Linked DNA regions of Oryctolagus cuniculus. The protein of the gene in region 1 interacts with the protein of each later gene in a pairwise test. Links are inferred from orthologs where the notes say so. Each region holds a gene or a part of one and is shown on either strand. Other genes may lie near its edges.

The links.
Region 2: the proteins of GLRX3 (region 1) and MAP3K3 interact in a two-hybrid assay, tested with the Homo sapiens proteins (2 studies listed by BioGRID and IntAct). The link is inferred for Oryctolagus cuniculus from reciprocal best matches to the Homo sapiens genes GLRX3 and MAP3K3.

Annotation. Positions count from the first base shown.
Region 1 is NC_091446.1:2,024,001-2,028,951, reverse strand, and holds part of GLRX3 (glutaredoxin-3), read left to right. Parts: intron 1-1,551; coding exon 1,552-1,591; intron 1,592-1,682; coding exon 1,683-1,775; intron 1,776-4,951. UniProt on the Homo sapiens protein: Together with BOLA2, acts as a cytosolic iron-sulfur (Fe-S) cluster assembly factor that facilitates [2Fe-2S] cluster insertion into a subset of cytosolic proteins.
Region 2 is NC_091448.1:15,078,640-15,083,590, reverse strand, and holds part of MAP3K3 (mitogen-activated protein kinase kinase kinase 3), read left to right. Parts: intron 1-2,246; coding exon 2,247-2,368; intron 2,369-3,945; coding exon 3,946-4,038; intron 4,039-4,951. UniProt on the Homo sapiens protein: Component of a protein kinase signal transduction cascade. Mediates activation of the NF-kappa-B, AP1 and DDIT3 transcriptional regulators.

The DNA.
Region 1 (4,951 bases):
GTGAGCTCACCATGCAGGGCTCATGAACAGGCCTCATCTTGCCGGGAGTGAGTGTGGGGAGAAAGCTGCATTTTCTGATTTCTCATCCATTCTTACCCTTGTCTCCAGTAGTAGAGTGTTGTGGGGGGCATGGAGGAGCAGTGTGAGGAGTGTGAAACGCAACGCTGCCTTTGCACGGAGCGGGTGGAGCTGTGCCGGCGGGGGTGCTGCCCACCGCAGTCGTGGCCCTTCCCAGGCAGGCCGTAGCTCAGAATTTTCACCATTGGTAGAAGGCACTCGCCTCTGTGCTTTGCCTGGAACGAAGACTTCACCCTGTCTTTTTTTCTTTGATTTTTTTTTTTGCTTTTTAAACATTCCTTTGTTGGTACTTGCTGCTTGTTTATACTATCATCAGTGCCTTTTATTATTATTATTTTTTTTGAGTGTTCCTGTGGGCAGTTTTCTTTGGAACTTGTTACTAAGTAAACAAGATTTCCGTATGAATGCAGATTCCCTTTCATAGGAAGTGTAGTTATTTTTTATGCGTGGTGCCACTTCCCCATCCTGCTCTGTGAGCATTAAAGAGCAGCTGCGTAGGAGGGCTGGGGCCAGGAGTGGGCTGAGCGCACTCAGTGCTGGGCTCCAGAGGTCGGTAGGCTACAGCTGGCCGCAGGCTTTGTGACTCGGGTGGTGTGGGAACACACACGCACCCTGCAAGTGGGCGCTGTGGCTCTGGCCGTGGCTGTGGCTATGGCTGTTCTATACCCTGTAACAGAACTGAGGAGCTGCAGAGTCTGGAATGTTCACTGTTGGCCTGTGAGAGCATGTTGCTAGCTCCTGATCTACCCCATAACCCCCGTACGAGGGAACTTAAGAGAGTTCAAGGGAAAAATGGGAAGTCCGTGCATTTTTTACGATGTGCATTTTCTGTGAGCCTTCTGAACACTTTTTTTTTTGGTAAAGATTTATTTATTTGAGAGGCAGAGTTACAGACAGAGAGACAAAGAGAGATCTTCCATCCGCTGGTTCACTCTCTAAATGGCCGCAACGGCTGGAGCTGAGCCAATCCGAAGCCAGGAGCCAGGAGCTTCTTCAGGTCTCTCACGTGGCTGCAGGGGCCCAAGCACTTGGGCCATCTTCTACTGCCTTCCCAGGCCATCAGGAGAGCTGGATTGGAAGAGGAGCAGCCGGGACACGAACTGGTGCCCTTATGGGATGCTGCTGCCACAGGTGGAGGCTTAGTCTACTATACCATAGCTCCAGTCCTTTGACCACTTCTTGTATGCATGAATTTCAGAATTTTTAACATCGAAATTATCTTTTAATTCTATTTTCAACGAGCTTTTGAAGTACCCTTGTATTACCTAGAGAAGAATCCAGATCAGTTTGAATTGGGATGATTTACTCTGTGGGAGCAGACAGACGAGAAGTAAAGTCATTCTGTCGGTCTGTAGCACATGTTAGCAGTGGAAAAGTTGATCTGCTTTTCTGGACTGTGTTAATAACATCAATGGGTTTTAGATTTTTGTGTAAAAAAACTACTTCCTGTTGAAATGTTTTTCCTTTTTGCAGTATTGAATATGAAACCTTCGACATACTGGAGGATGAAGAAGTAAGTTTTGTATTTTGTGTTTTGTCCTTAGTCTTGGTTTTAACAGTCAGGGTATGACAGGAAGGCTTCAGGGTCCCTGTTGTCTGTTTAGGTTCGGCAAGGGTTGAAAGCGTACTCCAGCTGGCCGACGTACCCTCAGCTCTACGTGAAGGGAGAGCTTGTGGGAGGACTGGATATTGTCAAGGTAAGCTCCTCATCTGCTGTCCTGAGAACTGGAGACCTGGGCGCCTTTGAAATCCACGCTTCACACTGGGTGTGGACCCTGGGCCCATCTCTGGGTGCATACTCTGGGCCCATCTCTCTGGGTGCATACTCTGAGCCCATCTCTCTGGGTGCAGACCCTGGGCCCGTCTCACTGGGTGTGGACCCTGGGCCCATCTCTCTGGGTTCAGACCCTGGGCCCGTCTCACTGGGTGTGGACCCTGGGCCCATCTCTCTGGGTGCAGACCCTGGGCCCGTCTCACTGGGTGTGGACCCTGGGCCCATCTCACTGGGTGCATACCCTGGGCCCGTCTCACTGGGTGCGGACCCTGGGCCCATCTCTCTGGGTGCAGACCCTGGGCCCGTCTCTCTGGGTGCAGACCCTGGGCCCATCTCTCTGGGTGCAGACCCTGGGCCCGTCTCTCTGGGTGCAGACCCTGGGCCCATCTCACTGGGTGCATACCCTGGGCCCGTCTCACTGGTGTGGACCCTGGGCCCATCTCTGGGTGCAGACCCTGAGCCCATCTCACTGGGTGCATACCCTGGACCCATCTCACTGGTGTGGACCCTGGGCCCGTCTCTCTGGGTGTGGACCCTGGGCCCGTCTGTTCTCCAGCTGCTTGTTCAGTCCCTTCTAGCCCAGGGTGGGCGTCCCTGTGTGTACAGTGTCGTGTCCTCTCACTGCACTTGCCCTGCACTTGCCCTGCCAGACCCTCCCAGGCCCTCCTCTCTGCCCCCAGCGCCTCTTCACCACCTGCCGGCCAGAGTCCACTCTGCCAGGTTACGTGATTTTAGTTTCCCTTGTGCTGTACTCGGCCAGGCAGAGGTTCCTGTCGTATTTTCCTGGTTTTCGGCATTCCTCCACCATCCCCTTGGCTTTGGATTTTCTTACAAATTCTATATTTAAATCTCTTTTCTGTGTCTTTCAAGGCCAACCTGTCAGCGAATCAGTCAGATTCTTGCAGCCAGAAGCATTGCTCCTGCTGTTGAAGTTGCCTGTCCCTTTATTGCTTTGTTGTTAGCATTCTGGTTATTAGAATGACTGCTAGTCTGCACTCGAGTGCATGGAGCGGGAAGAGGAGCAGGAAGCCGTGGGCTACAGGCTGCTGGAGGCCTACAGCCGGCGCGGCCCCGCCTGCCACACCCAGAGCCAGGGTCGCTGGGCTTGGTCTCCTGGGGAAAGATGCAGATCCCTCTTTGCTTTTCAGATGCCAGGGAATCCTCGCGTCAGGTAGCGTGTGCGTTCTGAATCCTCGCGTCAGGTAGCGTGTGCGTTCTGAATCCTCGTGTCAGGTAGCATGTGTGTTCTGAATCCGTCCTGTTGTCCTGCCTTTCCTGGGGTGGATGAAGGGCTTTAACTTGCTCTATGTGAACTCTCAGGACTCTTAAGTGGACATGGCTTTCCTTATGTTTCGGGTCCAGGATGTAGGACGGCTGGCTTCTTCCCACCCGTGTGCATCACAGCAACACTGGTTTGTGCAAACCCATGTGGCAGCTGCAGCGTCAGTGCCTGGAAGCATCGCCCCTGCCCAGGCCCGCCCTGGACACTGGGGATGAGGAGGAGGACAGCAAGGGGCGGGGGCTGAGTGGGAGGTTGGGCTTTTCTGGAGAGGTGGGAGCCAGCGGTCACAGAAGGTGAAGGTGGGTGGCAGCTCCCCGGGGCCCGGCTGGGAAACTGCGTCCAGCCTGCCCCGGCTGCCTGCTTAGCGGAACAGGTGGCGCAGGCAGTGCCACCTCTGGTCAGGTCAGGAGCGGCCGTCCTGTGCTCCTGACCGCGGCTCCAGCCGTTTGCTTCGTGTGGCTGCTCCTGTGCAGCTTTGTCCCCGAGTTCCAGGTCTGATGTGATGCCTCTTAAAAAGGCCAGTGAGGCGTTTTCCTGTTTTCTTAGTAAACTATCTCACTCCTGGAGGGAGAACTGTACCTTCATAATGGCCCCAAAGCAACAAAAATAGATCTGCACTGGGTATTTTATGTATGTGTGTCCTTTGTAAGACAGTCTTCAGACCCCGGATTCTCCCAGCGTGTTCTTGTCTGAGTGTTTTATAGCCTGCACCTCCGCCATGTAGCTCTTGGGAAGACACAATCAATAAATCTCATTTAACTGTAAAAGCTGAGCTGCGCGGGATGCAGTCGGGTGATGGGGCTTCTTGTGTTTACTTGGTACAACATGAGCATTTGGAAATTTGTAATGTTGTTAACATTTTTCCTCGAGCAGATGCGGGAATATCTCACAGGACGCCGGGCTGTTCTGTTCCTAGCATCAAGGGCAGCTGTGCGTCCTGTGTCCAGCACGTTCTGGGTGGGCTGAGTCCAGCTGGCCCTGTGGGGCCCTGAGCACTGCTTCTGTTGGATGAGTCAGTGGAGACAGCGTGAGCTACTCCAGGGCCTCGGTGTCCCCAGGGCTGGCCTGCGCCTGGTGGCTGCTCGCCCTGCTGCTGCACCTGAACGGCTGTGGAGAGGGGTTGAGAATGCGAGGGGCACACTGGGGTGTCCACTCTGGCTCCTGGTGCCTGCCTGGGCTACTCTAATTCTTGTTCTCAGGCGGCGGACGAGAAGACGCTTCCCCAGGCCACACAGCCTCCCACCACTCGGAAAGTGCTGCTGCTTAACAGGAGAGGAGGAGGGCCGGACTCCACTGAGGGTTGTGTGTGTGCAGAATCATGCAGGCTGGCGTTAGCCCAGAGGGGAGGTCGTGTGGACTTCGGGGGTTCCACTGATTGATGCTCATGCTACTTGGGGACAACATGAAATGTCACATCAAATTAAATGTCGATTCCAAACTGGAAAATCTTACTTGTCCTTTCCCTGTGAGTGGAGCCGCAGGAGCGGGGCGTGTGTCTGAGTGGGCTTTCTCATCACGTGGCTCCTCTCTCTTTCCTGTTGCTTGCTGTAATTTAAGTGGGCGCCGCCGTTTGTTCCGTGGCTGTATTAGCTTCTGCTGGACAGTCTGGTTGGGAGGACGTCCGTGACGTGTCCTCTGGTCACGTGTGCGGCTTGTGTGCAGCATTGAGGGTGCTGGAGACGAGTCTCCGTTCCACAGGGTCTGTGCTGGCTTCGGCAGCACACACAGCTCCATAGCGTGTTCCTTTGGGTTCAGACCGAGGTGCAAGCCTGGTGGCATGGATGTTTTCATTTCTTATTTATGCATGTGTATTCTAC
Region 2 (4,951 bases), on another chromosome or scaffold:
CTATACATATTATATATAAACCAATCTTCCTAGCTGAGGTTTATGCTCTAATTTTAAAATCTTGGTTGTGAAGTTAAAAAACAAGATGTCAAGCAAGTTCCCTTTCTTTAAGGAACTTATATAGAATTTGCTATAAAATATAAAATAGTTCATGGGGTTTATGTGTTTTGATTTTGACAAGCCCCTTTTCTGTAGAAGCCTACTTCCTTCTTGTTCATACCCCCTTTACTGTGTGCTTTGGGCATTGCAGCTGTGTCATGCTCATGCACACTTTTGTGTTCTGAAGTAGAATCATACAGCAATCTACTCTTGTGTTTTCCCTGCAAATTTTAAATCTATGAACAGACAAAAACCTCCTTATAAGCACTTTTTTCTCTTCCTTTACTGCACCTACTCAGAGGGCATGTAGGGCACCTAGGAAGAGGGGAGGGGCAAATAGTATGGGGAAAGTGACTCGACTGATTATACTTCCTATATTCCATGCTTTGCTTTCCTTCCTTTTTTTTTTTTACAAGCAGAGTGGACAGAGAGAAAGGTCTTCCTTTCGCCGTTGGTTCACCCTCCAATGGCCGCCGCGGCCGGCGCGCTGCAGCCGGCACACCGTGCTGATCCGAAGCCAGGAGCCAGGTGCTTTTCCTGGTCTCCCATGGGGTGCAGGGCCCAAGCACTTGGGCCATCCTCCACTGCACTCCCGGGCCACAGCAGAGAGCTGGCCTGGAAGAGGGGCAACCAGGACAGAATCCAGCGCCCGGACCGACTAGAATCCAGTGTGCCAGCGCCGCTAGGCAGCTTTCCTTTCCATTGGGTATTTGAATATTATCAAGGGACAACAATAAAGGACAAAAGATAGGTTCCCTCTGTGGGTGAGTCTTTAGTATTTGCTTCTTTTAAGTTGTGCCCCAAATCTCCAAGTGATTCACTTGTCACAAAAATAACTTTAACAGCTCATCCCTCATGTTCCTTCCAGATCAACAGTTTTATGTGTTTTCAACTTCCAAATGCTATTTGAGTGGGCAAAGATCTCTTGAAGGACCTAGAAAAATTTGCAAAACATGGAATTGGGATTGTCAGGTAGTGGGGTCCCTGGGTCAGGCCGTGTTGCCTGCCATCCACCTCTGTCCTCTGCTCTGCTGGTTGGTGCAGAGGTTGGATGATCTGAGAAGTGGTATGCCCATTGCCCCGTAGTTCACCTCACTGCCCCTCTCTGCAAGGCCTACCTTGGGAGCCGCTTAACCATCTTGGGCCCCTGCACCCATGTGGGAGACCAGGAAGAAGCTCCTGGCTTTTGGATCGGCACAGTGCTGGCTGTTGCAACCAATTGTGGAGTGAACCAGCAGATGGAAGTCCTCTCTCTTTCTCTCTCCCTCTTTCTCTGCCTCTCCTCTCTCTCTGTGTAACTCCGACTTCCAAATAAATAAATAAATCTTTAAAAAAAAACATTGTGCAGAGCTTTTAATTTTGTTAGACTTGGAGGTCTATAAATTAAGTTTTCTGAGTCACCCCATTTCCCCATACCCCCAAAAAAGCATGGAATTGGGCTACTTTGGCTTTTGGGTTTTGGCCAGTTGTTTTCAGTGCATGAGAACTCTAGTACTCCAATGCTATTTCAAGAAAAAGGGATTAAAAATAATGCCAGTAAAATAGAGGCAGTGCATTACTTGGTGAGTTAGTAAAGAAAAACACTAGAACTGCCTTTCAACTTCCCTATGGGAAGCAGGCCTATAAACTTGTAAAGGAACTGATGTGGGGAGGCATTCCAAGGCTAGGCTTGTAAAACAACTTCTGTCAAAGCAGCTACCCGAGGTTTTTGGTCCTCTCCTACATATGTTTTAGGGGTAAGTCTTGGACTGACTCTGACCCCTAGTCAGCTTTCTATGAATTCATTTTTTCAGTCAATACTTCACTATGCTGTGTTGTTCTTCACTCCAACTTTTCATCTATTTTCCTGGTTGAGTTTCTCTGTCACTAGACAAACTGCTCTATTTGAGTGCCTACCTTACTTGCAGTGAACTCATGAATATTGCTGTCAGAAATCTGAGTGAAGGGCTATTAAAAATTCATTAAAATTCAAGTCGCCATAGTCTGATCTCAATTAACTACTTTTGGGAGGCATGGTCTGCATGTGGTGTAATTACAGAGTCTGTCACTTTACCTGGGTAGAGAACTCCCTGAGTATCAGTCATATAATCTGTGAAAATGCTTTGCTGCTCTGTGTCTTATCCCATGTGCTCTCTTTCACATTGCAGATGAACAAGAGGCATTGAACTCAATCATGAAGGATCTGGTGGCTCTCCAGATGAGCCGACGTCCCCGGGTATCTGGATATGAGACCATGAAGAACAAGGACACGGGTCACCCAAATCGGCAGGTGTGTGTAGCTCTGGTAGAGCTTAACTATATTTGTTGGGGAGGAGTTTTGAAATGGGAAATATATGAGAAACCAAGGACACTAATACCAGAGGCTTGAATACTGTTGACCCATTTCTTTCTGGGTCTGTTACATGATAAAGATACTTGTATATACTAACCACGTGTGGTCCATGATCTGGATTCCCAAAATCTTGTATATAGTGTTTCACCTGTAGAGAAAAATTCCTTCACTTGTTATGGGGGCAATGTTCATATAATTTGTTTTCCTTTATTGATTATTTAGCAAATTTTCAGCTTTGTGATATTTAACCTAAGATAATTTTTAGCTACTTTACAGTAAATACTCAGGAAAAATTAATTTTGGTGTTAGCTTATGTAAAATATAATCAGGAAGGGAAATTTATTTATTAAAATATTGCATAATATGTTCTAAAGGCAATAGTGAGTCATTTTGTTTTTGTTGTTTACAATTGTTTCTACTCATTGACTCATGTAGTTGAGAGTACCTGATTTATTGAGAGCTGTGTGTTTCTTTAGGAAAACATTTCCTTTTTGTTAACATTTAAACTTGTAACCTCTAACGTCATTTGACCTGCAGAAAGGGGAGCTTCCATACCTAGTGAGATGCTAATGCTATGTGAGATGGCTGTATTAGGCACATTTAATGAAAATTTGTCCATGACATTTTCCCTTGTGGTAATCTTTACTACCAGCTTACCTTTCTCCTCATTTGCACCGTGTCTACCAATTCTTCAGAAGTGCCCTTGATTCCTAGGGAAAGTATAAGGCCTTAGACATTTTTCTATCTTAGGTCTGCTAGATAAAGCCTCACAGGGTTTTTCCTGCTTTTAGGAATACTAGGAACTCTACAAAGGGATGAGTTTTTGTTTTATGTTTTAATGGAATTAGTTTAGAAAGCTGCTTTTGTTACCGTGATTACTTTATAGAACTGAGGAAATAACAGATGAGGACCCACTCTTGTACTGTTTCATACATTATTCTGTTGGATTGTGTGGGTTCTCCCGTGCTGTAACTCATTTATATTAAAAGCCACTTCTGGAAGGAACATTTTACCAGAAGTGAGTCCCCTCCCCCAAGCTTGAGCCTAATGACCTCACTTTCCTTCCTGTCTTCCTATGTGAGTGTGCTTGCTAATGCCGCTCCAGTTAGCTGATTTTTTCTCCAAACTGAACTGTTACCATGGACATTAGTTGGTGGGTAAAAAGGGGAAGCTTTCTTGAGTTGGGAAGGCCCAAAGGGACTAGGCTAGGAAAAGAGGGTTGGAGTGGTCCCTGAAAATTCTTAAAAGAGGGTTTATATTTTAGAAATCCCTCTGTGCAGAACCTAAATGCTATTGTAAGAGAAGTCCCGATTTTTCACTCTGTCTGCTGCTGTGTTACTGGAGTGAGGTCACTAGTAACGAAAGCAGAAGACTGCAAAAAGAATTGACCAGTAGCATATAATCTTAGCAAAAAGGGACTGGCTCTTTGGACCCACATTTACTTGACTAATGTCAAACTGTTTCTGTTGCTTGGAGGATACAAATTATTAACCTCAGTTTTTTTGTTTTTAAAGAAAAAACACAACAGCAGCAGCTCAGCCCTTCTGAACAGCCCCACAGTAACAACAAGCTCATGTGCAGGGGCCAGTGAAAAAAAGAAATTTTTGGTAAGGATTCAAATTACCCGTTAAAGCTAAAATGTACTTTTAAATCTGCTACTCATGCTGTAAGAGTGGAGTTGATTTCCTAGACAAGTTGTTTAAATGGATTTGTAGGGAGCACTGGTACTTACAACCTGTGTTCTATGCCTCTAGTCAATATTTCTCACAGCAAAATTATAAGAAGCTTCTGTCATGCTGTCCAATAAATTTTCTATGTAATAGAAATGTCCTATATCTATGTTGTACAAGGTGGTGTCCACTAGCCAAAGAAACTGAATTTTTTTAATTTTTTTATTTTTATTTTTTTTAATTTTTTGACAGGCAGAGTGGACAGTGAGAGAGAGAGAGACAGAGAGAAAGGTCTTCCTTTTCCGTTGGTTCACCCTCCAATGGCCGCCGCAGCCGGTGCACCGCGCTGATCCGATGGCAGGAGCCAGGAGCCAGGTGCTTTTCCTGGTCTCCCATGGGGTGCAGGGCCCAAGCACCTGGGCCATCCTCCACTGCACTCCCTGGCCACAGCAGAGAGCTGGCCTGGAAGAGGGGCAACCGGGACAGAATCCAGCGCCCCGACCGGGACTAGAACCTGGTGTGCCGGCGCCGCTAGGCGGAGGATTAGCCTAGTGAGCCGCGGCGCCGGCCAAAGAAACTGAATTTTAAATTTCATTTAATTAATTTGAATAACTACATGTGGCCAGTGGCTATTGTGTTGGACAGCATAGATGTATATACTGTGTAAGGAACTGTTGATTTGTTGGCTGAGAAATTAAGCATATGCTTGGTGAGGTGTAGAGATTCATTGGTCCTTTCATTCCTTTCACACAGGTCATGAATTTCTAGGTATTGTGATAAGCCCACCAATGGGAATCTTATCTCAGATTCTATTCTAGGGGGAATCTGAAACTGTGGAACCAGCATGGCT